Linked DNA regions of Oreochromis niloticus. The protein of the gene in region 1 purifies or fractionates together with the protein of each later gene. This does not show direct contact. Links are inferred from orthologs where the notes say so. Each region holds a gene or a part of one and is shown in the gene's direction. Other genes may lie near its edges. The genes, in order: strip1, serine/threonine-protein phosphatase 2A catalytic subunit beta isoform, sike1 and slmapa.

Evidence for each region.
Region 2: the proteins of strip1 (region 1) and serine/threonine-protein phosphatase 2A catalytic subunit beta isoform purify together in Homo sapiens (affinity purification with mass spectrometry; 6 studies listed by BioGRID and IntAct, counting the BioPlex papers as one, with this or other methods). This does not show direct contact. The link is inferred for Oreochromis niloticus from reciprocal best matches to the Homo sapiens genes STRIP1 and PPP2CB.
Region 3: the proteins of strip1 (region 1) and sike1 purify together in Homo sapiens (affinity purification with mass spectrometry; 3 studies listed by BioGRID and IntAct, with this or other methods). This does not show direct contact. The link is inferred for Oreochromis niloticus from reciprocal best matches to the Homo sapiens genes STRIP1 and SIKE1.
Region 4: the proteins of strip1 (region 1) and slmapa purify together in Homo sapiens (affinity purification with mass spectrometry; 4 studies listed by BioGRID and IntAct, with this or other methods). This does not show direct contact. The link is inferred for Oreochromis niloticus from reciprocal best matches to the Homo sapiens genes STRIP1 and SLMAP.

What each region holds. Positions count from the first base shown.
Region 1 is NC_031970.2:21,899,084-21,907,186, forward strand, and holds the start of strip1 (striatin-interacting protein 1 homolog), read left to right. Parts: upstream 1-4,587; 5' UTR 4,588-4,763; coding exon 4,764-4,874; intron 4,875-7,309; coding exon 7,310-7,379; intron 7,380-7,482; coding exon 7,483-7,557; intron 7,558-7,654; coding exon 7,655-7,789; intron 7,790-7,876; coding exon 7,877-7,997; intron 7,998-8,103. Other genes in the region: S-adenosylhomocysteine hydrolase-like protein 1, read left to right, coding at 1-121, 281-287. UniProt on the Homo sapiens protein: Plays a role in the regulation of cell morphology and cytoskeletal organization. Required in the cortical actin filament dynamics and cell shape. Part of the striatin-interacting phosphatase and kinase (STRIPAK) complexes.
Region 2 is NC_031977.2:38,531,809-38,540,254, reverse strand, and holds the start of serine/threonine-protein phosphatase 2A catalytic subunit beta isoform, read left to right. Parts: upstream 1-5,050; 5' UTR 5,051-5,382; coding exon 5,383-5,484; intron 5,485-7,671; coding exon 7,672-7,710; intron 7,711-8,446.
Region 3 is NC_031984.2:27,970,648-27,979,005, reverse strand, and holds the start of sike1 (suppressor of IKBKE 1), read left to right. Parts: upstream 1-4,792; 5' UTR 4,793-5,041; intron 5,042-5,113; exon of another isoform or gene 5,114-5,129; 5' UTR 5,130-5,132; coding exon 5,133-5,291; intron 5,292-5,471; coding exon 5,472-5,577; intron 5,578-5,649; coding exon 5,650-5,792; intron 5,793-5,919; coding exon 5,920-6,033; intron 6,034-7,534; coding exon 7,535-7,654; 3' UTR 7,655-8,358.
Region 4 is NC_031970.2:15,724,428-15,732,251, reverse strand, and holds the start of slmapa (sarcolemma associated protein a), read left to right. Parts: upstream 1-4,481; 5' UTR 4,482-5,920; coding exon 5,921-6,118; intron 6,119-7,824. UniProt on the Homo sapiens protein: Associates with the striatin-interacting phosphatase and kinase (STRIPAK) core complex, forming the extended (SIKE1:SLMAP)STRIPAK complex.

The sequences.
Region 1 (8,103 bases):
ATGAATATGTTGCGAGTCTGCATCTGGCCACGTTTGATGCCCACCTGACAGAGCTTAGTGACGAGCAGGCAAAATACCTGGGTCTGAATAAGAATGGCCCTTTTAAACCCAATTACTACAGGTACACTTTTGCACATATTAAAATTTTGAAATGGGGAAATATTTTGAAACTTTTATTAACTTATTGTTATTGCACTAGGTTGTTTGCCAACACATAAACATTTTTTAAGAATTGTGTTTCATTCACATTATCTGTTTTTGTTGTTGTTGTTGTTCACAGGTATTAGTCTGTCACCTGAGAACAACAGCATGTGGACGGTTCCTGATTAGTACCCGACTTCCAGGCAAAATAATGATTTGTGTATTGTATTTTTTACCCTTCATGGGATGCATAGCTCATTTACTTGTATTTTAGTGACTGTAGAAAGTTTTGCTGCTTTACCAATGGCACCCAAGCTGGCTATGAAAAGTGAGGTGTAAGCACTCTGCTTATGTGAGATAACACATGCAAAAAAAGGAAAATATATGATTTTTTTTTTTTATTGCATGTGTTTCCATTCTGAAAGCTGTTGAGTATATCAGCATATTGTGCCAAATGACTGTGAGAGGAGGGTTGTGGTTGTTCAGAAATATTAGTTGTTAAACATGTTAAACCCACACGGAGCACTATTTTTGTATAATCATTCCCTCCATGTACTGCAAAACAGTCACTTAAAATGCCAAACCCAGGAATCTCAGGAGCTTACTGTGCTTTTTATGCACTTTTAGCTCCTTGTTTTGGCATTCTCATCAATATTGTGCTTAAAACTGTTTGCAGTCTTTTCCTTAAAAAACAGATAAGCCAACAATTGCAAAAAAAATGTGACATGATTTAAACTCCTGGTTGTTTTTGTTTTTTTTCTATCTCAGGAGTAGGTGGACCAAATCGGAGTTGAAAGGCCAGTCAATATGAGACTTATTGTTACTTTTAAACTAGCCAGTGATTTGGCATTAATCAGATGTCAAATCAGTTTTTCCTGTGTATCTGCTGAGTAGGCAATCGTTTGCTTACAGATGAGCCATAATAACCTGATGAGCTGACTGTAAATCAAAGTTTTGTTCCTCTGAGTATTTTTACTGTCCAGCGGTCAGAAATTGCTCTGTGCTGCTTTAAACGTTTCTTCCTGCTTTGATATTAAAGCACTTAATCACCTTATACATTCCATACACAAGATACACTCCTGTTGTAGTATCCTCACAATTAGTGCTAACCTTCACTGGGCCTAACAGAAACATAAGCGCTTGTTGAGCAGAGTAAATGTAAGAGCTTGTCATATTTTTTTCTTGAAAAAGAACTTGTCCATTTATGAGGTTTTGGTGTTTGGTGAGAGTTATATCTGTACCTCAGGGCATTCAAATATCTCTAATTATTTGTAAATATATGTCAACGCATCTGCACTATCTAATCTTAGTATTCATGCGTAATCAGTTGGTTTTGAATTGAATATTTACAGCATGTCTGTAAATTGGAGGGATATAATCATGTCTGTGATCCATGTCATTTGTCAGGTTTAGCTGTTCAGAGTAAATTGAATTTGGCGGTTATGTTACATACAGCACATTTATACTGTACATACAGCAGCCTCTGATGAGCTGCTCTCGTAATGCCGTGTCTTGTTAGATTTGTCTCAGGACTCTGTTAAAGAATGCTAACAACAGAAAAGTAACTGTCGTTTCCTAAATGCTCTGGGACTAGACACGGATGAGCTTTGTTGTATTAGCTTTACCTCCTGTTATCTTGTGGTATTATAGTTATTCTAATCCAACACAGTATGTGTGTTTCCAGAAGATTATGATCATTTTAAAGGCTTACGCACTGTGAGGCGTAAATGTTTGTGAGGCTTGTTAAATGCAAATTCACATTTACTCTGTTATATTCACATGTGATATTTTTTTAAACAGTGGGCACTTTGGATGACTGAGTTGAGCGACTCATTTTATGTCTAAACTAGGTATTACACAGATAGTTGTATCTTGTTGAACTTGCAGCTCTTCAACACATTTCATTGTGCTGTACGAGAGGATGGTCGCTAGTCATTAATTCTTTACAGTTGACAGCACTGCTGTTCCTCTCAAGTGTTTGACACCTTGTTACCATTTTAAAGTAACGCTCCACATGACTGAGGATCCTGTTTCATCACCGCACTAAGCATAAACCTGAATTTATAGAAACTGCGTATTTCATTTGTGCAGTAATTTTCAATTTTAAATGAGCAGGCTGCCCCCCCCCACCTCCCAGTTACTCCTGTTGTTTATTGAATAGTAGCCTACAGTGTGCTACTGCAAAGTGCTTTTCATCTTTGCACTAACAGCTTTAAGGGCATTACAGCCAAGGAGGACATCATTTTCAGTAAAAGGAGTGCTGCAACCATGGTTACTGATCAGTTGACAGTGCCTTGTAACTCACTTAGTAATTTATATTCACATGGACCATCTGTGCGTTTTCCTTTTTATCCATGTTGATGCCCGTCACAGTTATTACCCTGCAATATACAGTTATAGCTATGCAGCAAAGAATCCTCAGCCTTTCTTCTGGAAAAGTCAGTGTTTCACAAATTCCATAAAAAGTTATGCTAATAATTACTGTAAACAGTTTGAATAAGCAGCATTTTACATTCTGATATTTACCTTTTACATTTATTGTGATGGGTTTTTTAATCTCTATGTTCTTGTAATAATGGTACATTTACTTTCATAATGGCACTCGGAAAATGCTTCGCTTTATAACTAATAGTGACAGTCACTTTAACCTAGTTGTTCCTCTGTTATAGAGACAAATGAATGTTATATTACTGGCACAAACAGCTTGACTTTTGTTAAATTGAAGTTAATCAGCATACCACTGTGATTTGGAAGCTGTACATTGTTACATTTGAATACAAGGTTGTCTACATTATATAGTACCTATAATGTTTGCTTATTTTTCAACTTTGTTTCTAGTTTGTTTCATAATGTCAACTGAATACAGCTTGTTAAATTTCTCTTCACTTTCTCCTTTAATAAACTCCAGTTTAAATTTGAAAATGGCTCAGAAACATCATTTTCCTGCAGACAGACAATAAGCTTTACACAATTTGATTGAGTTTAATGTATATAGCACCAAATCACAACAACAGTTGTCTCAAGGCACTTTATATTGTAAGGTAATGACCCTACAAAGAAAACAGAAAACACCAAAAATCATATGACCGCCTAGGAGCAAGCGCTTTGGTAACAGTGGGAAGGAAAACTGTCTTTTAATAGGAAGAAACCTCCAGTAGAACCAGGCTTGGGGGGGGGGAAGGGGAAGGGGAACCATCTGCTGCAACTGTTTGGGGATGAGGGGAGGAAGACGAGACAAAAACATGCTGTGGAGAGCCAGAAATGAATACTAACTAATAATTAAATGCAGAGAGGCATATAAACAGATAGTGAGTGTTTATTCGCTCACTAAGGCCACAGGCAAAAATATGTGGGTAACAGTGACAGTGAGCCAAATGGAACAATAATTTTCTTTATTCTGATTGAAATGAACACACAATTTTATTTAGGCATATGTCCCTAACTGGGGTGACTGTATGCCAGGTGGAAGAGCAGGTCATTTCTAATTGCAAGGTTGGTCCAGTCTGCATACCAAACATCCCTGAGCAAGATACTAAGTCCAAGTTGCTTCTGATGCATCCATCAAAGTATAAATGTGTGTGCATGTTGGACAGGAAGCACTTACCTAGAAAGAGCATAGGGGGGAAAAAGTGCTTGTATGAATGGGTGAACTAGTTGTGTAAAGTGCTCAGAGTAGAGAAGCGCTGAATAAGAACTAGTCCATTTACCATTTAAAAATAATGTAATTATGATGGTTACAGTTGTGATTAGAAATTTACATCTACTCATCATGGGCATGAATGATGCGGCAATTTGGGGCTTTTAATGATATCCTGTGAACAAGATTGTAGAGCATACATCTTTAATGACTTTACAAAAACAAAAACTGGTTGCACAAGCTTTTATTTATTTGGGATTTTCTCTAATGCACACAGGGTCAAAATATTATCGTCCCTTAGTAAATTGCACTTCGACCAGATGCTTTCGGTAGACATAAACAAGCTTTTGACATAATTCTGGCCGAATATTAGGCCACTCTTGGCAGAAATGTAGACTTCATTTAAATTGGTTGGTTTCCTGGCTCTTAAGTCAACAAGAGCCAGGAAACAGGACTTAGCTCGGGGCTTTGGGAAGTCCCTTCCAGTAGCTAAAAAACCCCTCCCAAATAAATAATTTAAAACAAAAAAATTACCATCACATGCATGCACCATGATAAGTGAATGCAAACCTCTGACCACACCTTCATCCATAATTTAAAAAAAAAAAATGCTATTTATATATTTTCTTTAATTAAAAATGTTTTGGAGAATTTTAATCATCTTTAGATATTTATCCATCACGTAGAAGAGAAGTTTCTGAGTAGTCCCGCATTAATTCTACAGTACGACAGATCCTGTGAACTTTCTTCATCCAGAATGATACCTGCAGCAGGCTCTGCTCCGACTTCTGATCTCATCATCATGGCGTCAGTTCGGGATTACATGAAGAGGCAGAGAGAAATTCATTTCACACAAATTCTCCACAACCACACCTCGGGTCGCTGCTGCGGACCTTCGGACAAGATGCTGCGGATGCGCTGACGGGAGTTCGACTGTCGCGTTCCATTTCGCATCTCGCGAGAGTTCACTGGGCCCCAAAAAATTATGGACGTCGGTGGAAACGGTAGTGGGCTGCCTGTAAACAATAAGCAGAGAGCTATGTTACCTAACAAAACCAGGGGCGAATTTACCCGCAATCAAAGAAAAGATTCAGAGGTACGTATCCAGATGCTTATGGTTGATTTCCAGCGTGTATTTTTTTAGCTAAAGAGACGAGGCCTTTCCTGCTGCTAGTGTAAAGTTAGCTAGCTCTGTCATTGTAGCCCAGTTAGTGTTTCTAACATGATTCGGGAGTTAAGAGCAGCAAACGACCTTCATTACGGTGTTTGTACGTGTACTTAGCTGTACGGTGTTCCGTTTGTTTTCCAGTGTTAACACATTGAAAAGCGAGCAGGAGACAGCTAGCTGACGTTAGCCGGCTACAGGCCAGGCTTGTGTATGTGTCAGGAATCTAAGGACCTGTTGAAAACTGATTGTTTAGGTCCTGCTTAACACATTTAATCTTTCTAATGCGACAGTCGGCTATGACAGTGTAATTTTACTGTATATATGCAAATTGGTCACTCATCTGTGTGACGTTTAAAGAAAACAAGCTGAGTGTTTCCGTGTAGTGGTTTAAATAGCCACTGGAGACAGTCATGGCAGCACTGCTTCCCTGTCTGTCTTGAAGAGGTGTATTATTTCCAGTCTTTTCTTGAAAGTAGGCTCACAGTGGCAATAGTAAATCCTCTTGTGTTTAGTTAGAATAGAATAGAATAATCCTTTAATTGTCCCACAAGGGGAAATTTGGTTGTATCAGCAGCAAAAAAACACACATATACAAAAAGAACAGGACACAGAACAGAAAACAAAAAACAAAAAACACAATTTTTACATATTTACATCATGGACAATAGTTACCAGAGCAGAGTACAGTACAGTTGTTAAAATTAGCGTACAGATAGTGTGCAAACAGAGCAGGATACTGAAAGATGTTTAAATAGTTAAGAATATTTAGAATAATTAGAAAAGTGCAGATTGTGTATTGTACCTGTGCATTAAAAAGTAGACATGTAACTTCCAATAAGTTAGTGTATATATAAGCTGAGAAAAGTAATGTGCAGTTATAACAGTAGAAGTTGTTACAGCACTGATGTAAACATCTATGTTTGTTGGGAGCAGTTTTGATTGTACAGTCTGACAGCTGCAGGGAGGAAGGACCTGCGGAAACGCTCCTTCATGCATCTAGGATGCAGCAGTCTGTCACTGAAGGAGCTCTGCAGTAATGCTTCATGATGGCAGCCTCAGTGTGTTACTGTTGCTTTCAGTGTTGCAGCTGGTACACATAATATTGTTTATTGATTCATAAACTTTATATTACAAATCAGAAACTACATTAACTTGTCTGAAATGTAAATTATAGAATAAAAGATTATAGAGTTGTCAGTAATAGATACTCAAGTACAAGTTTATTACTACTACTATTGGTACAGCTTTATAATAAACAGTGCCCAAAGCGGTTTATGTAACCAAAATATAGTGAGGCGTTAAAGTAACTGACATCAGCTGTGCACGGTGTTTATGGAGAACTGAAAATATAATTGACTGAGTGTTCCAGAACTAAGTAACCCAACAAACCAACAGTGTCATGAAGAAACTTTCCAAAGAGAGTAAGCAGACTGAAAGTGGAGGTTTTATAACCTTCACCACTCCCACCACTCAGGTGCACTCAGTCTTAAACAGGACACAGTGCTATTACAGCAGTGTTTGATTGCATCTTATTTGTTACTTTGTGCTCCTGAACTACTTTAACAGTATTGCTTGTTGTTGCCAACCGGATGTTTTTATACCTTATACTGTGCTTTATAGGCATGTATAAGGTGGAGAACATGCCTGATTAAAAAAAAAGATGTTAAAAGATGTAAGCTTTGTTAGAGAGTAGCTGCCAGCACAGAGGAGTGTTTCACCTGTAGCTAAATACTAAAATGTGGGGAAATGCAGCTAAATGCATTGACTCAAGTACTCTACAAAGGAAGATCATAGTGATTATGATGCATTGCTGTAGATAAAACAACCCAACAAAAATGTATTAGCTCAACCAGCGTTATCAGCAGTAAAAAGCCTCAAAAGACATTAATGCGGGAGAAATATTAATCCAACAGTAAAATACTAACGGGGGACATTTTTACTACACACTTGAAGTACAAGTTACTGACTTACATGTGTTAACATAAGTGGGCTTTTAATCCAGAAGGTTTCCTAGTCAAATTTATTTTTTGATATTGTAAATTATCAAAATGCTACTTCCACCACTTTCTCTTAGCAAGAGTCACTTGGACATTTTGGTGCTTTGACTCTTGATGATGTTGCTGTTGTTATGGAGAATTTTGGAAAGGAAATTAAATAGTACTAACTAAATACCACCACTTATTAAATGAGAAAATAGGTTTTTATGTGTTTGTGTGTAGAGTTTGGGTAATGTGACTTCTTAACATCAGTCGGATGTGATTAAATTTGCCTTGGATTTATTCATTAATTCATTTAATTAAATTTTTTTTTTTTTTTTGTATCCAGTACCTCTCTGTCTAACCTCTGCAGTGTGTTGTGCACAGGGGCAGTCTGAGTCTCCAGATCTGGAGTTTGAATATTCGGACACAGATAAGTGGGCTGCAGAGCTGTCAGGTATGTGTGTGTGTGGGTCTGTGTGTGTGTGTCACACTTTAAGAACCTGTAACCACCTAAAAATGTGTGTATATTATTTATGAACTCTTCATGTGTGTTGCAGAGCTTTACAGTTATACTGAAGGACCAGAGTTCGCTCTTAATAGGAAGTGCTTTGAAGAGGAATTCAGAGTTCATGGTAAGCACTTAGAATATACATACACGTCAGCCATACAAATAAAAGATGAAGCAAGTATGCATCTTAGTTTATTTTCTTCACCTCTGCTGTGGCTTAGTGTCTGATAAGAAGTGGACAGAGCTCGATGAAGCTCAGCACAGAGCTCACGCTATGCGCCTGTTGGACAGTCTTGAAGTCACTGCCCGGGAGAAAAGGCTGAAGGTTGCCAGAGCCATTCTCTACATGGCTCAGGGTCAGTCCATCACACGTTTCCACGATTTCAAGTAAACTAGAAAATAGTTTGTCTTCATGTACTGTCTTCTTTTTTTTCTGTTTTTAGGGACCTTTGCTGAGTGCAGCTCTGAGGTGGAGGTGCAGCACTGGATGAGATACAATATATTTCTGCTGCTCGATGTGGGGACCTTCTCTGCTCTGGTGGAACTGCTCAACATGGAGATTGAGTATGCTCTCCGTCAATTTATTAGCCTTGCAGAAGTAAATGGCAGTTAAAAAAAAACAACAAAGAAGCCATTTTTTCCTACCCCATAGCTTTCTGGAAGCATTTAT
Region 2 (8,446 bases), on another chromosome or scaffold:
ACACGTAAACTTTGGAGAGGAGGACCTTAAAGCTACTGTGGTATCAGAGTGAGGATTGAAGATGGTGGCTAAATATTGGTGGTGGCAGTATCAATACTCACGTTTGTTGCTGTTGCCATCACGTTTTCTTTAGTAGCAAGCGAGCTAAGCGCAGGGATGCGCGTGCCCTTTGTGCAGTCTAGTAAACGAGGGAAAAAAGGGGGTCAAAGTATTAGCACAATCTATCTTTTTTTTAAACAATCTAAATTGGACGAATTATCATTGCCTTTAAATTTTAAAATAAAAAGATGCTGTTATCAACACAGAGGTCATTTAGGTTAAATTAAATAATTGAATTAAATTAAATAGTTTAGATCGACTGTGTTCCTTTTTCTTTTTTTACCTTTGTCCCACAAATGCAACACCCAGTCTCATACTTCCTTTGTTCTGTATACAGTGATCTCTAAATAGTTAGTCAAACAGAGCAACCTCAGCCTCATTTCAAATTATAACTGCAAAAGATGACATCAAGCATTGTTAAGTAGGAATAATTTTCTTCATCACAAGCTAGCTGGTGTTATCTGTTAAAAGACCTTTAATGAGCAGGTAAAGCTCTAGATTAAACCAATAAATTGCATTATCAAAAATAACTCTATGATTTTCAAATTGTTAGAATTCACCTTTTACTTTCCATGTTTTATTTCATAGTAGTGGAGAAGTCCAGTGATCTGATCAGGTCACAGTCTAGCTGAAAATGGCATTTTGTGAAGACTGATGTGGCTTCTTCTGAGGCTTATCTTCAACCCAAACAGTTGGGTAAAATTTTGACCTAATTTTGATCAAAGCTGCTCGACCTATGACCCAACAGAATTAGTCATGTCACGGACCTGGGTCCGAGCAACCCAGGGTTATTGAATATGTTATGGACGTGTATTTTTGGTGCTGCTGTCCCTCGTCTGTTTGTGGGTATGTGTAAGTCGGTGTGTTCAGCCTGGAGGCTGGCCACACCTGAGGGAGAGGATCACACACCTGCAACTGATCAGGATCGTCGGGGGAGCTACAGAGCAGTGTGGCTGAGCGCTCCTCTACGCTGGATTGCTGCGTGAGACTCCACGTCAGTCTTCTAGCTTAGTTAAAGTCTGTGAGGGTATGCCTACTGGAATTAAGTGTCTTGACAGCTGCCTCTGTTATTTCCCCTCAGGAAGAGCGTGGAACACCGGAGGGCAGCAAGCACGGGGTGTGCCGACACACGGGAGTGAAGAGCACGGACTTTTGAGAAGAAGAAACAACACGGGAGTCAGGGGAGCACACGGGGAATTATTGTCATTTTGCTGCACTGTAAATAAACGCACTGTTCAGCATAAAGAGTCCAGCATTTGGGTCCTCATTCCCCACTTCCCCACGGTCTGCCTCGCAGAGCCTGACAAGTCAAGCTGTGGAGTGAATTAAAGAACTCAGCACATTACCAGAGTCATGACTATTGAACCAATATTTGCTCACCATAAACCAACTTACCAACCTACAGCTTTTACCCAGAAGTTGAGTTATGAAAATAACTCCAAGTACCTCGCCCAACACTGATTGTGTACTTCCTAAAAAAACCATATGTGATTACAGCTACAAGAACCGCGCTGTGAAAGAATAAACTGCCTCAAACCAAACTTTAAGCTCCTCCTTCCATATTCTGGACAATTTGGCCTTAAGTGTGTTTCTGGCCGACACACCGGAGCGACTGTAGTGCTGAAGAGTGAATCAGTGTCACAGCTGTGTCTATCCTGATACCTCCACTACACCCACCTTCCAAAAGATTCACCTTTACTCTCATCAGTCCACAGAGGATTGTCCCAAAGGTCTCGGGCATCAGTATAGATGGAAGCTAGCGGTCATGAATCCGATAGACCTTCAAAATACAGCTGGATATTTATCCTGCAGGTTTACTGTTATTTCAGACGACGTTTCTTACCTGTGGTTAACAAACACGAAGCTCTGAGGTCCGATTTCTTCTCTGGAAGTGGAAAGTTTTTAAAAAACGCTGTGACTCAAACTCGAAACGGTGCGAGAAGACCACAGTGGCCAAAAATATATTACATCCGTAGTGACGGTTCGATTCCCCGACCGGGCGGCATCCTCTATCTTTGTTTATTACTGTTATAGTAACAGTGCACACAGAGCAGCTGATGTCAGAGGTTAACTGTCAGAGACTCAGGAATAGATCATCGGTCACATTCGTCACAGTGACTGAGAGTAAATCAGGAACAAACATATTCAAATGTGCGTTTCAGTTACAGATTTATTACCTACAACTCTCAGAACAAATGAACGCTCATCGTCTGCTGGGAAGGATCAAAGTTTTATGATTTTAGCTTTTTTGGCTGATGAACTACATTTTTTTTTCTTTACAACAAAGACCTCATAAACAACATGTATTTACATTGGACTGTACAGGATCAGGCACCTGCGCGTTTCAGGCAGGTGGGAAGAATTCTCCCTGAAGCAGAACAAAGCCAGCATCCACACAGTGAGTGTGTTATTCCACAGTGGGTATCAGTGCAATGGCAGGTGCTGCGTGGATCCCTTTGCAAAGGTTTCTTTGAATAAATCCCTCATTTATTCCATGATTATTATTATTTTTATTTTTGGTGGCTGCAAATAATTAGATAGATAGATAGATAGATAGATAGATAGATAGATAGATAGATAGATAGATAGATAGATAGACTTAAAAATCATCAAGTTTTCATGTATATATCTGTCTACAGAATGCATGTGCTCGAATATATAATGATGTTTGATTTATGAGATCCTTGACCTTGTAGAGAATTGCCAGAGACGTCGATATTTTGCCTTTGATATGAGTAATGTGGGGAATCCAGGATAGTTTGTGATGTATTATCACACCAAGGAATTTTATTTCAGATACTCTAATTCAGTGTTATTTATTGTCAGTTTACTATTAGTAGAATATGTGCGATTCCCAAATATTATGAATTTTGTTTTGCTCAGGTTCAATGTTAATTTATGATGGTCAAACCAGGTCTTCAGATTATTTAATTCATTTTCTAGCTCATTCAGAAGTTGTTCCAAGTTACTTCCACAGCACAGTAAGTTTGTATCATCCGCAAATAATATTATTTTCAAAGACTTTGAAATAGCACATATCTCATTAATATACAATATGAAAAGCAGCGGCCCCCAAACCCAAACATTTTAAAATAAGATGCTCCTAGCCCCGCCCCTTTCGTGTAAACGCCCTTGCAACCAGGTTCATAAACCTGTGTCGACTTATCAAGCTCATAACCAGCTTCACGTGACTGCTGATGTTAGGATCAGATAAACCGGATCAGGAAAAGTGATCCTGGATCTGTTTCAGACTGCAGGCACAGCTCTGACGCTGCTTTTAGGTCTCAGCGGGAAAAACAAGTCAGAGGTCAAAGTGGTGTCTGCAGTTAAACATTTACACTCCACGATTTGAGAAGTGTGACTGTAGTAATACTAGCAATAGTGTAGCAGTGTCAGTAGTGCAGTTGTAGTGTAGTAGTTTACTAGTAGTAGTTGTTGCAAAGATTCTTGTTTTTCTTCCTCACTCGCCTTAACCTTACCTGACTTACCTTGTTTCCCTTTCTCACCTTCGATTGGCTCTAGAGTTTGCCCTTAATTGCACTCACCTGGCACACATTATATAAGGACTGCAGTCACTTACACACTCCCACATGGGGCAGCAGCTGAGGTGAGTTTGATTTGGTCTCCTGAGTTTAAACCTTTATTCCTAAATTCAACATCACCTCCGTCACATCCATCACCTCCGTCACCAAAAGGCCCAGCAGCACCTCCACTTCCTGAGACGCCTGAAGCGGGCCAACCTCCCTCCTCCCATCCTCACCGTGTTCTACAGGAGCACCATAGAGAGCGTTCTGACCAGCTGCATCTCCGTGTCGTGTGTTGAATGTTGAACGATTAACGATGTGCCAGGAGTCTGGTGTTCTCGCCGGCTCGAGTGACCCTTGAACCCCCAGTCAGCTATCAAGCTGGTGGGTAACAGACGTCTCCGAAAACGTCGGAGCACTTTTGCAAATATGTCATGTCTTGATAAACCGAGCAGATATTTGAAGTTTACACAGCTACATTCTTGTCTGAATATATGTTAAAAGTTTATTTAGTTTTTTGTTTTTTGATTTAAACCCTGTGGGAGTGTCCCCCCCTAGAGGGACAATGGACCTCCTAATGATCCTCTACCTAATCACATGAGCCAAGGTGTGAAAATGGGTGTAGGTCACAATCAGCCAGGGTTTCGGGTGAGCTCATTGTGAAACCTAGCCCCACCCTATCATGTGATTTCCTGAGGTCAGATGGCCCAGGGTGTGAGCGGATTCAAAGATGGTCGCTCACAGTGGACATAAAAGTATTACATATACATATATTACTCTTATTACTTTTTTAAATACATAAAAGTAATAAGAGTACTTATTACTTAGTAGCGGCTGACATTGTTGGAAACTGAATTCTGGGATATGGTGGGCCACGAAGGACACACCCGACCCATCCTTCAAATCTGGGGAAAAGGAGGACGCATTTGTCGACCGGCTTCGGAAGAGTCTACGAATTGGGACAGCCTTTGCTGCGCCGCTGTGATGTAATCGGCCTACAAATGTGGCCTCAGGAGGATGCAGCCTACGTTTTGGGACACAGCTTATGTCTCCCTTTAAGTTACACTATATAACTCTGATATACTGCAACAGATTGATGGCTGTTTTATTTTGCATTCTGACCGGTTGATTTCATGAGGTTAACAATTTCAACTTTCCTTTGAACCTCCTCATTAACAGTAGTGATAGTGTAGTAATAGCGTAGTTATAGTATTGCAGTAATGTAGGTGTACTGTGAAAGTAGCAGTAATGAAGCTGTAGCAGCAGTAATGTAGTAGTGTAGCAGCAGTAGTTTTGTACTTGTACTGTGTTAGTATTAGTACTAGTAGTGTTGTGGCGCGCATTCGCGCCGTAATTCAAGGTCTGTCCACACGGTGTCACTGCTGTGCTGAGTCCACACGCTGGTTAAATCCCCGGATGTTATTGTGGCTAGCTCCTTTAGCAAATCGGCTAGCCGCTGCGACGCCGCTGTATTCTGCCGCTACGCTCTGCCGCATCGGGGACTTTTGATCCTTTTCACTCCCCCGGCCGATAGACCCGTGTTTTTAACATTGGTATCTTAACATCGGTCATTTATCATGATAGAAGTTGATTAAACAGGTCGTTGTTTTAAACTGTTGCGGTGATTTTTTTCCAACCGGTCCGGTGGGTTAACAATACGAAGAGCTAAAGGCTAAATTAGCAGCTAGCGTAGAGACACAGGCCCGCTTGTTTCTTCAGGTAGCTAACACAGCTAGCTTAGCGAGCTACCGCGGCTGTCATGGAAGACAAATCATTCACTAAAGAGTTAGACCAATGGATCGAACAGCTAAACGAGTGCAAGCAGCTATCGGAAAACCAAGTCCGGACGCTCTGTGAGAAGGTAAGTTCCAAAGTTTTTGACATGATTTCCCGGCAGGCCTGGCTCAGTCCAGCGCGGCCTGTGTTGCGAAAGTGGCTCCGGTTAATTTCCGGAATAAAGGAGCGACGAGGCGGCTGTTTGCGCCCAATTGTCCTCCGCATTCTGAGTCAGAATTCCCTTTCAGGTGTGATATATATGTGTGTATTTCTATTAAATAATCCCCACTGTGAACTGTTGTCCGACTATCGTCGACTCATTACACACGGGCCGAAAAATCGCATCTCTTGCCCAGTGCCAGGAAATAGACGCAGCCCATTTTACTGCCCGGTTATTACCTGCGCTGCTTTTTGCGCACAGGCCGGGATTCAGCCTGATTCAGCCATTCACTGTAGGGGGCTTTATTCTTATTTCTCTCTTAAGGCTAATCATCTGTTAATGTGTGTCGCGATTGATCGATTAGTACCGCGCCCTTAATGTATTGATCAACCATTTGATTGCATAAATGGCAGGTTGGTTGCACCATTAAAAATGAGCCGTTTGTGCAGCCGTGTGGCGGCTCTCGTCCTCTGTCGAAGCGATTAAACCCGAAATATTCCTCGTTGCATACTTTTAGAAGTGTGCGTTGACTAAATGATCTGATCTGAAGACATTTCTATTATAGCAGCGATGTTCACAGAGAAAATGCCCATCAAACTGAAAATCCACGTCCGAGACAGCAGAACGTAAAATGTCTGTAACCTGATTTATTATGCTCTCTGCATGAAGATGAATCCATTGTTGATGCCATTTAACATCTAAATGAGGGCTGAAACCGTCTGTACTAATCAGTCATTTCTTTCTTTCTAGCTAATCAGCAGAGTCAGAGATGGTTTAGATGTTAAAAAAAATAAATAAATAAAGAGACTCATAGTACAGGTTCTGGTGTCCCCGTTTAGTCTTCTTAGATTTTCAGTATAATAAAAAGATGAAAGTCTCAAAGTAAAAACTGGATAAACATGGCATGAAATTTGAAGGACAGAAGAATATAATGGAGGTATGATGAACATGGCACAGACTGGCTCATATCTGATTGATCTCCATTAGGAGATTATTGCAGTAACCTGAGGGGAAATGAAAGTATCCAGGTGGTATTGGTCAGATGGGTGAGGAGGTTTGAGCCCAGCCAGGTTCTGCCAGCTGACTTCATATGAACTAATCAGTTACTGAAGGGGGCTCTTATTACAGTTAATAACAGTAAAATTCATGAGATGAATGAAGTTTGGCCTGTTGTAGATAGATGCTGTCATCTTTCAGCTATGAGTGGAGCTGAAGTGATGTAAAAAGTACTGATAAGTCTTTATTTTCCTCTTCCTACACATTGTTGTTTGCAGTAAATTTGAATAAAAACCAGCAACATGTTTATGGACTTTTTCCTTAGGTGGGTAAATTTTTAAAGGTTATTGATTTTATATTTCCAGGTATTTAAGCTGTTGCATGATTCATTGCATCAAGTTTTTCCTGCTCTAAATGAACCTCACACAGCAAGTCCACGTGTAGCTGATGACTCAGTGTTGATGAGTTTACTGTGCTTAACAAAGGGCTGTATAAGGTTTGGATATTTCTGACATTTTGACTAACAAAGATGGTGTTATTTCGAATAGAGGGAACTATAACCTGCTGTTCTGAAGGGTTCTGGTTGGAGGACACTGTTGGTACAGCATAAAAAGATATTTAGCATTTTGCCCGGTTAGCTGTTTCCAGTTTCCAGTAAAATAAATTAATAATACTTCACTTTATCAGTAAGAGAATTTTAAAAAAAAAATGACAGCTTAAATGTCACATGTGTATGACGTGTTTAGCTGGTCAAAAATGAGGCAGTCCCAGCTGTAACCTGTGTATCCTATGAATTCTGATGGGAAGGAGGGAAGTTTAGCTGCTGAGTGTTTGATGGTTAAAACTCTAAAATAAGATCAACTTTATTTTCTCACTCATGTAAAAGAGCTGTGGGGGTGAGGAGAGGTTTCCAAACAGTCACGTGGGCCTGAAATCTTAAGAAGGAACAAACAAACAAACCAAAAACAGTCGTGTGTGTGTGACTCTGGGCACGTAGGAGCTTAGTTTGATTTCACCTCCTATCAGCTCGTCACATGATCCCCCCCACTGTCTGAGCTGTGATTCCTTTAAAAAACAACAACCCAAAGACACTCATTAAATCTGTTTCCTCTACAGGCCAAGGAGATCCTGACCAAGGAGTCCAACGTTCAGGAGGTGAGTTTTCCGAAGTCATTATTGATTATTCATGGAAAAATGAAAGTCACGAGGAAAAAGAAAAGCAGAAGATAAAACCAGAGCTGATATCAAACGATTAGATTCTAATCCAAGTCAGCTGTTTATGGGTCATCGGTCCTTTATGTGTTTCAGAGTGAAGATGTGGCTCTGTGACTCGGGTGGAGCGGAGCTCAGGTTAACATTTTACATGCATCCATAGTTCTGTGTTAACCTGAGCTGCACTGCTCACAGAGCCACGGTACTAGGACTCTACCTTTGACAATATTGACAATATCCAGCCCAGGGAGCCTTCTAGATAGTGGAGTTGTAAACTGTGACAGGCTCCTTTCTCCTCATAAACACCTCCAGGCTGCTCTTAACCCCCCCCCCAAAAAAAAAAAAACCCATAAAAGCAGCATGAAGAAACAAGCTGTGAAATGATGGACAGTTTCCAGGTATCAGCACGTGTAGGTGAGCACCAGCCTGTTTTTAAATGAGCTCTCCACCCGCTGATGGTGTTTCTGCAGGGCACAGGTGTAGAAAGGTGGCTGTTTGTCCAAATTCTTTCTTTCATTTGTATCAAAGTGTGGAAAAGATTTGAGGAACAGATTTCAGTGTGCGGTTTGTTCCCTGTGGGGTGTTTGAGCAATCTCACACCCTGTTTACACTGCCTACAGCTGAGGCGTGGGCTCGAACACATGCCCACCGCCATGTTTTTATGGAAACGGTTTTCCCT
Region 3 (8,358 bases), on another chromosome or scaffold:
TGGATGTCTGCAAGGGTGAAGAGAGGAACAAACATAATAGGTAAGGCAGGTCAGCCAGTGTGCCAAGTGTCACAAACAAAAAGGAAAATAGCTGCAGGCTTTAATCCCAAGAGAGGATACAAAAGGGGGGAAAGGGGAAAAAAAAAAAAAAAAAAAAAAAAGTAGGGGGGGTATGGCCTGAGAACGACAGAATAGGAAGAGTGTGGATCAGGTAAGGGAAGGCAAGTAAATCATTTTCAAACAAAACTGAATGACTAGTTCAAGTATTTGGAGGTGGTGGTGGCTCAGTGTGCAGTGGTGCTGGCTTCTTTCACGTTTTCAGAATAGTTATCTTTAACAAAAGGACAATGTAGAGGTCACTAAGATCAAATCAAAATTTACATTTCAAATCAAAATTTTACACCAAGTATCACTTCCTGCACTCACTCCACCAAAAGGATGTGATGTCACATGGAGAAAGCAATAAGTATGCAAGATTCAAGTCTAACCAAGCACTGCAGTAGCTTGGAACTGGCTGCTGCAAACAACAGCTTAAAATATTGGCCTACAAGTAGAGAAATTTAAATGAGGTCCAATAAAAATAAATAATAAGTCCAACTTTGAAAAACAGAACGCATTTGTGTTTAGTGACTGAGGGGAAAAAAAGAAAGAAAAGAAATATAAATAAAACATCATCCTCGGCATACCACTGCACTGTTTTGGGGCAGTAAGTGTTATACAATCTGTTTTTAAAGCATGTGTGAATCATGTAGTGCATCTATCAAATGCAGATTCTGAATCAGATACCAGTTTTATAAAAATATTAAAATCCAAAAGAGGGTACTGATAATGCAGAGAGGTAATGATGAGCAAAACGTGTGGCAAAACCAGAAGTACATTTACAGCCATCATAAACACACTATGAAGGGCTTCAACTGACTCGAGACCTACCTTTATTGGTCGCCTTGTGTCTTTATCTCTCAGGATTTTGATGAACTAGCAGTTTTTGTGGACCTCTTCACGCACACAGTTGAACACGCACACTTGTTACAGTTTCTGGCACAAGTTCTAGATCGTTGCATAAAGTAAAAAATAAAAAAGGGGGGGTGGAGATAGAAATCTAGAGCAAAAATAAAACAAAAGGCAAAGGCAGGTGCAAAAAACACTGCTCAGGAAAAAGGAGGGGAAAAAAAGAGGGGGTAAGTTGGGGAAGGGAGCTATGGGAGTGGGGAAAAGGAAAAAAACAAAAACAAAACAAAAAACCAACAACAACAACTAGCAGATAGCAGCCCACTCCACACCCCGGTGGTGAGTCGGCGGTGTAGTGAGGATGAGGAGGGCTAGGAGCAGCGTTGGGACGTGTGCTTTGTCAAAGCTGTTGAGTAGGCACAAACTTCTGGTTTCAGATCAACTATGGTCTTCTCAGAATATGCTTGGGCGCAAGTTTGCTTCTCTTCCACTTCGCAGTTGGGATGATGTGCGTATTCTTTGGTCGTTTCAGGATTTGGTTACTTCTTGCGTTTAAATCCTTGAAGTGATCCTTTTTCACCAACGCTTCTTCAGTGTTGACTTTGTTTTGGGAGGTTTGTCTTCAGTTTCTTTGATTTGATCTGAACTTGAAGCAGTTGCGGATGGTACAAAAATTCAGTTCGGTTTCACTTCATACTGTTTGAAGGGGGATGAAGAAAAAAAAGAAGATCTGGTTAGATGAAAACTTATCACCAACTCCACTGATCTAAATTTAGGTTAAATACAAAATGGCCCAAGGGCTCCATGAGTCTGGAGTGAGGGAGAAAAATTAGACTGTCAGCTAATATGACTATTCTATCACACGAAAACAAGTAAAAACCCCAAGCACTGGCAGCCTGAGGTTTTTTGGGAACATTTGATTCTTTAGTCACACTCAAGTACAAAAATAAGCTTTCCTCAAATGCCTCTAGATACAATGCTAGGCAGCTGACAAGTACTGTGGATCAACAAGTCCTTGTGCATACCTTCAGTTCAGGCTATGTTATTTATGGCAACATTTCAGACTAAGGCCCTCTGTTTCATCATTCAGCCCCCCAGTTGTTCTGCATGCACACAACCTTACACATTTTTAGAGGGGCTAATCTGGCAATCAAACAAAGCATTGTAACGTGTGTATGACCTCTCCCCCCCCAAACATTTTTTTTCCAGAAACTCCAAGTAACATACAGCACACCAGAGCAGGATGTTGTTGACCTAAATACCCTGCTCTGAAAACAAGATAGCTGAGCCAACCAAGGACACATGATATCTATTCTGCTGTGACTATGTCGCAATGTCTCCCTTCTTACATCCCACTAGGTTAGAATATGAAGTTGTTAAAAGGCTCAAATGTGATTGCTACAAGGTTGACTACGTAAATGTATTAAAGGTTATGAGCCAGGAACCGAAGACAGCTTCTGTGGAATCCACTTTCGCCGGATTTTTTCTGCTTTTTATTTCGCAGGAAATGAGAAAAAAAAAAATCCACTCACGACACAACTAGCAGCGATTGGCCGTTTTAGCCATGGTTTTTTTTTGTTTGTTTGTTTGTTTATTTGTTGTAAAATTGGGACCAAACTACAGTTTGAGCTATTTGTTATTTAATAAACATGAGAGGGAAAGATACCTCTTATGATTGGACATTTATTAAACGACAGTCTTTTCTCTGGGCAAACAAAACAACCGCCCCGACAGGAACCACCATGTGACTTCTCAGCAATCCGCTATCCTCAGCTGGAACAGCCAACATGGCCTGATCCAACACGTTGCGGTATGCGACGCCATCGCGAACGGCACGTCTAACCAGTCGATGTCAAAACATACAATAAACTATAGTTCGTTAAAACCTCGTTACTTTAGTTCTTTTTTGCTCATTAAGCAAAGTAACCCGCACAATCACATTTAAGGATGTCTTATTGACCTTGTGTGGACAAACAAAACCTGACAGATTAACATTTCGCCGATGCTAATCGTCGTAAACAGCTACTACTCCGCTGTCTTTAGCAACACTTAAAGAAATTCTTCATCATTAACTTAACTAAAACGCATTCAGTTCTTTTGTAATTACCGGATGACTTAAATCCTGTGCAGCTTGGAGTCCTTGAACAGAAAGTTTGCTAATGGTAATTAAGCAACGGTTCAACGTTGTACACTGTACATAGAGATAGCATTTCGACTTCTCTTTCACATTAATGTTTAATGTGGTTTCGGACATCAGTCAAAATATATAGAATTTCTATGTATTAATTTAAATGGGACTGATTATAAAGAGATTTTTTTTTAAACTAGCAATCATATTATAAGGGAGACGTTTTTTAGAACTGGATCGTATCACACGCCAACCTGCAACACGGGCTATTTAGGCTAAACGGACAATAGAGTTAAGAACAGACAATGCCAAAAGTGACTGCCGACCAGGACAGTTCTTTAAAAAGTACTTATAATTATGTACATTTTAAATTTCTTGCCAGTCAAGAACAACGTTAAATATAAACACTCAGTTTATTCATTTTTTTTACGTCGATAACGCAATAATAACATTATCAGCGTTAACGGCACGAGGACGGAACAACAAAGAAGCTAGATACAAGCCTCGTGCTTAATTCTATTTAAATGCCATCTTTGTATCTAAAGTATACCATATCCATTTTACACACGTGCTTTTTCTTTACCAGACTCTAATACGTCTTAGAAAAAACATCACGCGCCTGTTTATTTATACCTTCGACAGTATAACTAGGCCATTGGCAATGCTAAGTAGCTAGTAGCGACTACGGTTAGCTAGCATGCCGTTGTACTCCTCGGCCCTTGTGTGATTTATGTGGAGCTGTAACAAGGCAGCCCCCACCCAGGCCCGAACTGTGCGTACGACTAAGCGCTGACTCACCAATTCACCTCTAAGTACTCACTGAACAAAAAAGAAAACTATTATTGATATATTACCAGTACACGCTTAAATTGTTCTGCTAAAAGGGATAAAATATTAAAAACTCACCCCAACAGCTTTCAGCACTGTCACCAGCGCCGCTAGAAGCAGCACGGCACATTGCGTAGAGATAGGGAGGCGGCTACCGCGATATTTGACGATACTAGGTAGACCAAAGATCCTAAAGCGAAGAGTGGCTACGAGAGGCGCTGATAAGAAACCGCCTATGTGCCGCAAAGGGACATGGGAGGCATTTGCGTTATAGTAACGTTAACATTTTATCTACCTCGCTGTCTAGACTGGAAAAAAGATATGTACGAGTAATCTAGTCGAGTTCAATAAATAATAAATCCATTAATTATTTGATTAATGAGTAAATAATAACTATCATGCCATTTAGTAGATAACTAAACTTAATAGGTGTCGCCATAACTAAGTTTTCTCCCCATACGGGAGGGTTTCTGAGACTACACGTTGCACAAAAACCCAACATAGGAAAATGTAACATAATGCTTCAGCTCAACTCAGCCCTTCACTCACTTTGAAATTACCCGATACTAATATTTTTTCAGCACTGTAAGTGTTTTACGTTACATTTTTACTTGAAATGCTGATAACTTTTAAAATTATGTTGTTGTTGTTGTTCATTTGTTTAACATACAACTGTTGAACAGTGAAGAAACAATATCCTTTTTTCTTTTCCTTTTTTTTAATGAGACGCTGTTGCGTTATGTAAAGATATTTTAAAGACCAATAGGCTTGATAGGTTTAGCCATTAACCCCGCTTTTGGTTGTGTGCCAAACTTCTACACCGCACTCTACCCCAGTAGGTGGCGACTCAACGTTAGTTTGACAATTCGCCAAAAGTAGGAGGAGAAGAAGAAGAAGAAGACGACGACGACGAAGAAGAAGAAGAAGAAGAAGGAAGTGTCGCTAACACTTTAGTTTTACACGGAAACGTCAGTTTCTGAAGCAGTAATATTCTAGTAATGTAGTAATATTTTGATCTGGGTGTCTGGTACTTGCACTGTCTGCCGACACAACATTAACGTTAAGTAGCGAAACAGTAAGGATATTTATGTTTCTATAATGGCACCGAGCTGCCTCGGCTAAGGTTATATAGCCCAGGTAAGCAACGGCTGTGAGTTGTTTTCGCTCTAGCTAGTTTTGTAGTAGCTTTTTTTACCTAACATAAAAAAGAGCTGTCACTTTCCAGTAAATGGCCTGCACTTTAGAAAAAGTGCTGGCCGATACTCGGACCCTTCTCGAGAGGCTAAAAGAGCACGACACAGCCGCCGAGGGACTGATAGAGCAGTCCGAGGCCCTAAATCAGAGAGTGCAGGGCATGAGAGAGGTGGGAAATGCTCTGCCAGACAAGGTAAACTCGAGCAGATAGCTCACGCTTATGAAAAGCTGCACTACTGCTTGGTATACACATTGAACTAGTTAAACAGTGACCTGTACTACAAAGCGAGTTTCCCTCGTATCTAGAATATGCTTTCGTGATATGCGTTCGCTAAAGTCTTCTTTATCTGTTTCTTCTCTGCTCTTTTCTCAGCACACAGATGACAGTTCAGAGATACAGGAGCTCACGAAATACAAACCTCATGTCCTTCTGACTCAGGAAAACACTCAAATCAAGGAACTGCAGCGGGAGAATAAAGGTAAAAAAAAGGTTCTGCTGACTGACTGGCTGGTTTTATATACTAGTATTAACACTCTTTATGCCTTTGTAGAACTATGGCTGTCTCTTGAAGAACACCAGTACGCATTGGAGTTGATCATGTGTCGGTATCGCAAGCATGTGCTCCAGTTGATGATGGCAAAGAAGGAGCTGGACACCAAACCTGTGCTCAGCCTCCATGAGGACCATGCCAAAGTACATCAACTCTGCATTTCTTTAATTTGCTCACACGTTTAATGGGCTATGATTCCAAATACATAGACACACAAATTAAAAAATAAAAAAATAAAAACAACAAACTTGATTTCTGACTCTTTTCCAGGAAGTGCAGAGCCAAGTGGAGCGGATATGCGAGATGGGCCAGGTGATGAGAAGAGCAGTGCAGGTGGATGATAAGCACTATTGCTGTGTTCGAGAGAGGCTTGCTCAGCTAGAGGTGAGAAATGCAGTTATACATGGACACAATGACACCTTTCCTCATGAGGTCTGTGGAAAAATATGTGATTTTACCACAGACCTCAGACATCAGCTTCTGTGTCAAAATGACGGAACGATAATAGATGATCATAACTGCAAATGAGAGCTGAGTTGTCAGCTAGCATCAAGTTTTTAGTGGGATGGTTAGGTTTAGTGCATCAGGTCAAGGAGCATGTTGTTTTGTTTGGGGTTTTATTAGGTTTGTTTTTTTATTACAGTCAAATAGGTTGTACAAGGGTTATAAAAGGGCCTTTTAAACCAGTCGGTTATATTTCTTACTGTAGCATCTTTGTGATAACCTTTTGTGAGCTCTCTAAATATGCTACAACTGTAAAGTTTGTTGAAAAGGTACATTTTCCCAAACAGTAACAAACGTGTATTTAAGAATATAAATGAATAAAAGCATTCAGAACAATAGCTATCTTCCCAGGAGTGGCTGTTCTAGCAAATTCAGCCACAGACTGTGTAATGCTCATGGAAATGGCTAAAAATCCAGGAGCTACAGCTCAGACTCTACAGGGCTACGTTAGCAAGTTAAATGAAAGGGGGGGAAAGCCTCTTCCCTTTAAAAAGAACAAGGCAGCATTGTTAGTTTTGCATAACTGCAAGGCATAAAGTTTGTCCTTTGGACAGACCAGACCAGTGTGGAAATGTTTGGCTGTAATACACAGCAGCTCATTCAGTGAAAACTGTCAAACACACTGGTGGAGCTGTGATAATTTAGGGCTTGTTTTGCACCTGAGTACCGTGAACTCTTTGAATCATCCAAAAATCCCTCTGCGTACCAAAGTATCCTAGAGTCAAATGTGAGGGAAGTCTGTCTGACGGCTAAAGCTTGGTTGAAACTGACTCATGAAGCAGGACAATGATCCCAAACACAGCAGCAAATCTGCAGCACAATGGCTGAAAAAGGAAATCACAGCTTTGTAATATTTCAGTCAAGGGCCAAACCTCAACTCAGCTGGAACACTCAGGTGGGATCGTAACGAATAATCGTGATCCTCAATGTGCTGAAGCAACATTTGATCAGACTTCCTCCATAATGATGGATGAATAAAGTTGTACACGGGTTTTTACACGATGCTTCTTTTTATTAAATAAATAATGACATGTTTTATTGTTCATCTGGGGCTGTATTTAAATAATTTTTGTACCTGCTACGGAACTGATGATTTTTTTTTTTCTTATTAAGTCTTATTGATAAAACCTGAGAAATAAAAGAGGGTGTACTTTCTTTTTCACGTGTCTGTATTTGCTTTGGTTATCTGCTTCACCCAACATTGCCAAAGTGCAAAAAATTCTATCACAAATAAACAGAAACACTATTTAAAAGAGAAGATGTGATGCATCCATCACAATTTTCATTCAAAACCTGTATGCACGGGGAAGCACATGCATGTTATAAGGAAGAGATATTTAACTATAAAAGTTATGTTTGAACATTTTTTTTCTACCTTCAGATTGAGAACAAGGAGCTGCGTGATCTCCTGGAAATCAGCAAGAGCTCTGTGAAGACAACTAGCCAGTCACTAGCAGCAGAAGAAGGAGAAGAGTCTCCTCTGCCGGGGTCCACCGAGTGACCTGAAGTACAGCTGGGATAAAGTTCCACAGAACCAGGAGAGGGGGCTGATTGTGTCTTCACCTGTGTTCACCACCACATTATAGATATTGTTATTTTAATTTTATTTTTTTACATGTAACGAAATGCAGTCCAGCATGAGGTTATCACTCACAATACACATGTACTGCAGCAAAGGCAGTAAAAGCAAAGGGGATTTCTTTAGTTTTTAGCCAAAGACACTTTTATTCTCCAAGGATACAGTTTCTACCTCTTTGGTGCCCCTTTGCTGTTCACACACACAAACTTTTACAGTGAGTAAAGCACCCAAAACCAGCCCAACCTTTGAGTTCACTTGAAATCTATTAACAAGCCAACTTGTAGTCCACACCATATAAGAAGCTGTGCTTGCTGCCAATAAGATAACTTTTGGCTGTTTTAAACTTTGCCTGCTGAGGAGTAGCAGTGGAACCTTTGTTGTTGTGATGTTTTGGGTTTGATATGGTTGATTGTCTCAATATAAAACATGGTTTTCATGTTTTGGTACCTTAATTCTGTGTGTTAGACACAAGTTGTACAGTTTGCCGATTCAGAGTATTGCGTACCAGCTAATGGCACATCTTTGTTAGTGAGAACACTTTCAAACATGCCAGGGTTTTTTTGTGTAATGGATACCATGTTTGTACACTGTATGTTGTCAGAAACTGTATTTTGTCGTCTTAGGAA
Region 4 (7,824 bases), about 6.2 Mb from region 1:
TGAACAGAGCACACCAGGACTTGCAAGTTCTAATCCATCTCCGTCCGTTGATAAAACAAAAATGGCACCTGCTGCATTTACAGAAAGTTCTAGAATCCACCAGCTATTCGTTGAGTTTCTTCTTCTACTTTTTGTTTGATGTTGTGAGGATGGGCTCAACTCGCACTCAGAGTTCAATAAGGGTGCTTTTTTGCAATTCATCCAAATAGTTATACTTTAAAAAAAAATCACTCTTAAAAAAAATGTTTAAATGCATTTTTACTTTTTTTCTTTCAAATAAATTCATTGTTCTTAAAGCAGCTTAAAAATAAGGGGGGTTCAGGGAATACAAAAACAACAACAGCAATGAAAATAATAAAAAATAAAATAAAAACACTAAAATATATGCTTAAATCAATACAGTTGCAAATAAATTACTGTCAAAAAGAATTAAAAAAAAAAAACCTCTAATCAAAAAGAGCTTAATCAACCTGTACTTTATCTTTTGAAAGAATGGGTACAAATAAGTACTTTTCACAATTAAGGAACATGTATGTACCTTTCAGACGCTAAAAAAGGTACAGACAGTTACCCCGAGGTCCAATATTTGTCCTTAGACTGTATTAATGTCATTTTTGTACCTTGGGGCACAGTAATGTACCCCTTCCGTACCCCTATTTCTGACTGTGTAAAGTAATGCAAATTTAAACCAATTCATACTAAATGACTTATATATTGTGTTTGGTTTTAAATATTCCTGCATTTTATATCTTGAGCCACAGAAAACCGTATTTGATCTGTCACTAAATAAATGTAAATGTACATTGCTTTTTTACATACTTTATTGTCATATGTTTAGCTTTTTAACACAATTATTCTTTTTTCGTATTTTATTATGATTTCGGGGTTTTTTTTTCATAAATAAAGTATATGTTATCCCATGAAAAAAACAAAACGAAACAAAACAAAAAAACTGTGCATACTAAAGAGCTAAGTTATCAACTAAACAGAAAATAAATCAATTAAAAAATCCAAAGTCCAAGTGAGACCTTTTTGGGGATGTTCAAATATCACATGGTACAAGCATGTAAGTTATAATGAATGTAATAGTTTCTTATGTTTTTATACATTCTTATGTTTTTGTATACAGTTTCAAATGTAAAATATTCACATTGATAACCTGACATTAGTGATAATACATTCAATATCCAAAACACTTTCCATCGATAGATAATGAAATGCAATGAAAGAGATCTGGGAGCACACAAACCCCAACATTTATCAGATCACTAAAGAGTGTTGTAATTAAACTAAGATGTAATGGAGTTCAGCTTCTAAGGCTTTGTATCCCACAAACAGCCTCTGTTAAATGGACATAGTGATGTCAAACTGGGCTAAGAAGCTAAACACAGTAAGATGCTGTTAAATCTCATATAATAGTCAGACTGTTAGCACAGTGACAGCTGGTGCCCTGCTCTCTGTGCAGGAGGGCTGGGCAATGCAGCAGGGACCACGATGGGGTCTATCCCACAACCAAAACCTGCACCAGGAACACTTTACCGGGAAACTCCAAAACTTTAAAATGAAAACCTATAACAAGGGTATCAAATACAAGGCAGAGGAGCCAGAATTGGGCCGCTACAGTCCCTGATCTGGCCCACTGGATGGCTTTGGAAAATGTGAAGTAAGGCATACATTTTGGACTGCGCTGTATTTTAATAAATTTAACTTTTTGTCTTGCTGATAAACCTCTCCCATGGCCATTCATATTGCACCAAAGTATTTGCTGTATTTGTGCAATCTCTGTTAGTTTATAGTATATGTATAGTCTTTGTTACTTAATTATAATCCAAATCCAATTTGGGATCTGGACTTTATTATACTATCTGTAATTAAGTAACAGACAAAATTAAATAACAGAAAATGTCCTGTTTTTTTTACTATCAGCTATAGAAATTATGTTCTTTCCGTAAAGAACAGAACCTTTCTGTTTTACAGCACAGTCTGGGGAATGATCTACCCACAGTTTAAAATGACTTTAATATCACTGTCCTATAAGGTCTGATGTTTACATCGCAGGAGTCTGTCAGTCACTCAGTCCTTATCTCGTCCTTCACTCTGGTATATTTGGAACAGCCTAATGATCAGTCTGATCCCAAAGTGAATCCTGTTTCAATCCTCTGCCCTCTTAGACCTACTGAGATCTCAAGCAACAGTACAAGGTCTTATTCCCAGAAACATGCCCTTTTCTTGTGATGAACTAATTTACTGGCTTACATAGCTCAACATATGTTTTTCTTGCTGGGATTTGTTGTGAAGATTGATTCCCCGTGCATCTTCTTACAGTTTAGTAATATGAACGAGGCCAAACTAAACAGCCATGCAAGAATTTAAATATTCTGATCTCATCAAACCTACTCAGTCTTGGACATTTAGAGGAAAAGAGGCTGAAATGCTTTACATCTTCAACCTCTTTAGGCCCTTGCTCTTCTCCATACACTTTGGAAGTAGGTGAATGTGGAATGCACTGAATATTTCTCACTTTTGAAAAATTAGGGTCAGAGTGTAAGGAGTTGATAACTCTGTCTGACACCAGGCTGCTTTTCGGGTTTCTTGTTTTGAGGAAGTCATTTGCTTTAATGTGCATGTGGCCCTTTAAATGGTTCAGATATGTTTCTGATCATGCTGGAAGGTTTCTGCATGTTTCGTTACAGCTCTGCTGTATTATTGAGGCTGATTGAAAACAAGGACTAGCAACAATGGCTTGAGGTTAGTTAGGAAAGCAACAACTCAATAAACTCTGAGAAAAAGTTTAAATACTGCAAATAAGTTCCTTCATTTTAAAGGAATATTAAAAAAATGCCTGTGACCTCTTGACTAACTTAATATGAATGAGAACAGCACCAAACCTGTCTGTCTCTTTCAAGAAAAGTGTTTTTTCCCCCCAAAACTGATGAAACAACAACATTCCCAGTCTTAAAAGTTAGTGTTCAAACTGTTCAATTAAATTTTTAGCTCTTCTTTTCTCAGTAAAGTGTGTAGACTGAAGCCTGGTCACAGTTCAGCTGCTAGAAGCAACAATTATATTTTTTATACTTCCTTATAACCAACAAAAAAAATTGATGTGGAAAATTCCAAACACTTATGGAGAGTAATTATGAATACTTTAGTCACATGCCCTATAAATTATGGCTGAATCTAAGAAGAAACAGCAAAGCTTTGCTTTGTTTTTATCTGCTTTACAGTCTCATCCACCATCGATTTAGTCTCAGCTGTCTGTTCACCAGAGCACCACAGGGACATTTCTGGGGCCAGAAGCAGAATTTGATCTCCTGTAAAACCACCCCCAACCTGCTGTCCTACCCCTAAACTGCATTGCTAGGATAACGCCCATCTGATGCAAACTGAAAAATACTGCTCTGATTAATAAACTGCAGGTGATGAGAATCAAAAAGGTACTTGAAAAGAAACCAGATGATTTTTTTTAAGCAAAGTAGATAAAAATCTGTTCTGTTTTTCCTTTCTAGGTTATACCATTTATTAGGACTTCCATATTTCTTAAGGAATTAATATATTCAGGCCTGTGTAACGGACAATGAAAAACAACAAAAAACAAGAAGAAAAGTTCTGAAAAAGAGACTGAACAATAATCCAGTTTCCATATTTAACACAAAGCAGTCCATGTTCTTGAAATAAAAAAATCCACTCCAGTAAAACAGGGAAACCACAGCAAACAATAATAAAACAAAACAAAACAACAAAACAGAGAAATTGTGTGGTTTACAAAAAGCAGCTTTTCTCAAAGATCCATATTCTAAACAAAATTCAGCCCTTTTGCCTTTCAGGATACCGTTTCATGGAAGATTTGACATCATTTGTTTTATCTTGTGTTTAAGGTTTGGTTTATGAGGGTTTTTTTCACCAAAACAATGCTTCTAGCTTTTATGTTAGCTTATATATTTGTGTTCTCCTGTATATAAACTAAGTAGAAATAGATTTGGGTCTATAGTAGAATTTCTTATGAAATAATTTCCTCACACGTCCCTTTGAGCTCTGAGGGAGTTAGCTACATTTGTATTTGTGTGTTAGTCTGAGGTATTTTCACTGTCTGGGTGGTTTCTAGTCCTCCAATCTTTGCGCAATACGTTTGGATTTTCATGTGAACTCTTGTAAAGATGATGTAATCAGATTATAGGATTTTTGTATAAAGTAATTTTCTTTATCATCATTATTTGAAGAAGTGTTTGTACGTGAAATATGTTGATGTGCTTTAATACCAACTTTGTAACACCTTACCCGTATGTACTTTTTTTTTACATTTAAAAAAGTGCTTATAATTTTATCGTCAGTGTTAATCACGTGGTTATTATTTTTTTTAATAATTCATAATTCTGTATGTATCTATGTATTTATCTATTAAGCTCATTACTTTTTCCGAGTCTGACTTAGTGAGCTCAGCAGTGGGTGGTGCTCATGTCACCTGGTCAGTGAATGCATCCCTCCGGCTGTCTATCGTTCAGTGAACGCACCACCGCTGTCTGCTCTCTAGTTACAGTATGGCGGCTGGGACTTGCGGAGGAGGACAACTTCTTCTAGATTCCTTCCACAAAACTGTTGGAAGGCGACGGCATTAATATAAAACTTATAGCGGCAACCACGAGGTACACTGCAACAGACGACAGCGGCATAACTTGTGTTTCTTACTGGGGCTTTCCCCAGAAAATAATCGGACTGGTGTGTGATGCGTGAGGACCCGCAGTCAAGAAACTCCCCTGATTTTTCCGCGTCGGTTTCTGCTCTGACTGTCAGTTAGCCGGCTAGCTGCTAGGTAGCTCCCTTCAATGCTAACGCTCGCCTGCAGAGCTCTGTGTTAGCAAAAAGAAGCGCTAGCGTGTTGCTTTTATTTACTCCAGGTGACAGGGATGGTATATCGTATCCATTTGGTAAGCGGACTGGTTGAAAAAGATGGGGAGAAAAAATTTGTGGACCTGGACGATAACTTTGTCAGTACTCATTAGCCTAGCCTAGCTTAGCCTAGCTTTCTGGTACAACGCCAGAAGAGAGTTAGCGCTTCGCCTGTCCACCAGCGAGTTAGCCAATTAGCATTTCAGTTGCACAAGACGACCAGATAATCCCCCCCTGTTCATCCCGGTGGATGGTTTTGAAACGTCTCCGCTGACTAATTCAGACGAAGAGTGGGCACTGAGCTGCTTTAGTTTTATAACTCAGGGGTGTTTTGGCGTTCAGGCTCGCTAGGTGTTCTCTGGTAGAGGGAGTGGTGAAGGTAGGGAGATAGGAAGGTAGCTAAGGTTCCCTGCATCAGGGCAACAAGGTCACTCAGATTATGACGAGCCATACATGTCAACTACACTTATAGATGACACTTTAGTAAACGACAGACGCGTGTGTGTTTGTGTGTATAGGGTGATGAACGCTGGGGTGTGTGCCTGCTGTTAGCTTGCTGCAAGAGAAGACAACACAGCTCAGAAGCGCGCAATAATTGGACCTACTGCTCTTGATAGGCGTTAAACAGACAGTTTAGTCAGCACAGAAGGAGTTTGATGGACGTGAGGGGCTGTCAGTGCTATACTCACTCATGTATGTCTTGACACATGGCAGCTTGGTCTGTACATAGTGCCTGCTGTCACATATAAGCGTCGTTATGTAGCTTCGGTGGGCAGTCAGTGAGGGGAATGTCCTGTCTTTTTTTTTATACCTGTTGGTTTGTTTTTTATTTCTCACACATGAGAGAGGACCATGTTTACTAGTTAGTGCCTAGAAGATTAGAGGACTAACGTTTTAGCCTACAGATAGGCCGCAGATATTGTAGATTATTACTATTTTTTTGGGAGGAGGGACTGCACCAGAAAAACCTGCCACTCTGGATCAAGAAAACTTGCCCCTCGTCTCTGGTTGGAGTAATACTCTCAAGCCAAAATCAATGCCTTCAGCGCTGGCAATATTCGCCTGCCGACCCAACTCGCACCCATTCCAGGAGCGGCATGTGTACCTGGATGAGCCCGTCAAGATCGGCAGGTCGGTGGCTCGGTGCCGGCCAGCCCAGAACAACGCCACCTTCGACTGCAAGGTGCTGTCCAGGAATCACGCTCTGGTGTGGTTTGACCACAAGACTGGCAAGGTAAGCGGCAACAGCACTGAAAATGACCTCCTATTGCTTTACTTTGGTGTTTATGTGGGCCTACAGTAGATGGATACTTTACTTCATGTCTTCTTGTGGGTTGGCCATATAAAGAGAACCACCAGTGAGAAATATCACCTCATTGGTTTGCATCTTTAAATAGACAGGAATAAAAGGCCTATAAAGAGGAATTTTGCAATGTTAGCTGCTCATCTTGTTTACTTATATTTTCCATGGATGATCCCAATTAGCTCACAACCTTTCTTTTACTGTGTAAATAAGGTTATTACCTAAGAGCTTAAAATATAGCAGGAGATCCAACTTATTCCAAACTGAATCATGGTAACCCTTACATCAACTTGGATTAATTTAATATGCCTTATAATTGTGACTTGAAGATTTATAAATAATGTTTACCTTCATGGCACAAGGGAGCAGATTTTAATACAGCTATCATTATTAATACTAATAATGATTGCTCTGCTGTGGATTTAACAGGCTGCTGTTCAAAGTTTGAAATGTATCAGCAGGTTGTGGGATGAAATGAAGAAGCAATGTTAACAACGTTAACACTGGCATAATCTGTGTCACTCTTGTCAGTTATGCTGATGGATTTGTTTGTGTCACTATGAACTGTGGGGAAGCATTGTCTCTTTAGTAATAAAGAAAGTAGTGAAGCACTTTTTTTTTTTTTTAAGTGTTTAGAGCAGGGGTGGGCAATTGATTTTTCCCAAGGTGGCCACGTGAGAAACTGTGACACTTGTGGAGGGCCACACCAATAAGCTGAACTCAGTTCTGCTCAGTTTTCTCTTCTTTTTCTCACGTGAGCCCTCGAGAAAATGTATTTCCCCCCACAGTTTAGAGAGTTCAACCAGCACTTCTTATTGCTTCCTTGTCATTTCTGTTAGGAACCTCCATAAGAACAGCTGATGCTGTGACTGTAGTCAGGGCTTTTTCTGGCTCATAATAAACTTTTAAGGGAGTGGGGCACTAAGCAGGATTACTGAGTGTGTAGTTGAGGTAGGGAGGCTTACTTAACAAATGTGTGCATTTTCCTGATATTGCCCAGCTTGCCTAGCAAATTAAATATGGCTTTAAAACCACTTAATTGATAACTCTTTGTTCTGTGGACTGATGCACCTGAAAGATTTTGGAGAAAATCTTCACACGCTTACACATGTTTTTAAATTTATTTAAGTAGTTGACTTAATCTGCTATCTAAAATTACATAATTGGAAAGGATCAGGATCTACAGATGCACCAGTTGCAATTTTCTTCAATTTTAACTGATAGCATATACCCACTCTGCTTCAATGCAAAGTTTTACTTTCATAATAAAATAAATTATTAAACTTAAGAATTTTCCCGCAAACTGCAGTACATTACAAGATCTTCTCTCATTGGAAAACTGAAAATAAAGTGCTCCGTCACTGGAAAGAGTTACAAATAATTGAATGAAAATAAGGTGCTGTACACCTACCTTTACCTGTCATATTTTATGTAGGCAAACAATGTCAAGTTCAACAGATTTATATAACAAAACAAATGTCAGGTACTTGCATCATTTCCTAGTATTTTTATAACTTCACCAGATAACAGGGCATTGACCCTTCTCTCTTTTCCCACTCATCTCCATAATTTGTCTCGTAATTGCTTTGATCTTTTGCTCACGCTGAGGTTGCTGGCTTGTGTCTGGCTCTAAGTTG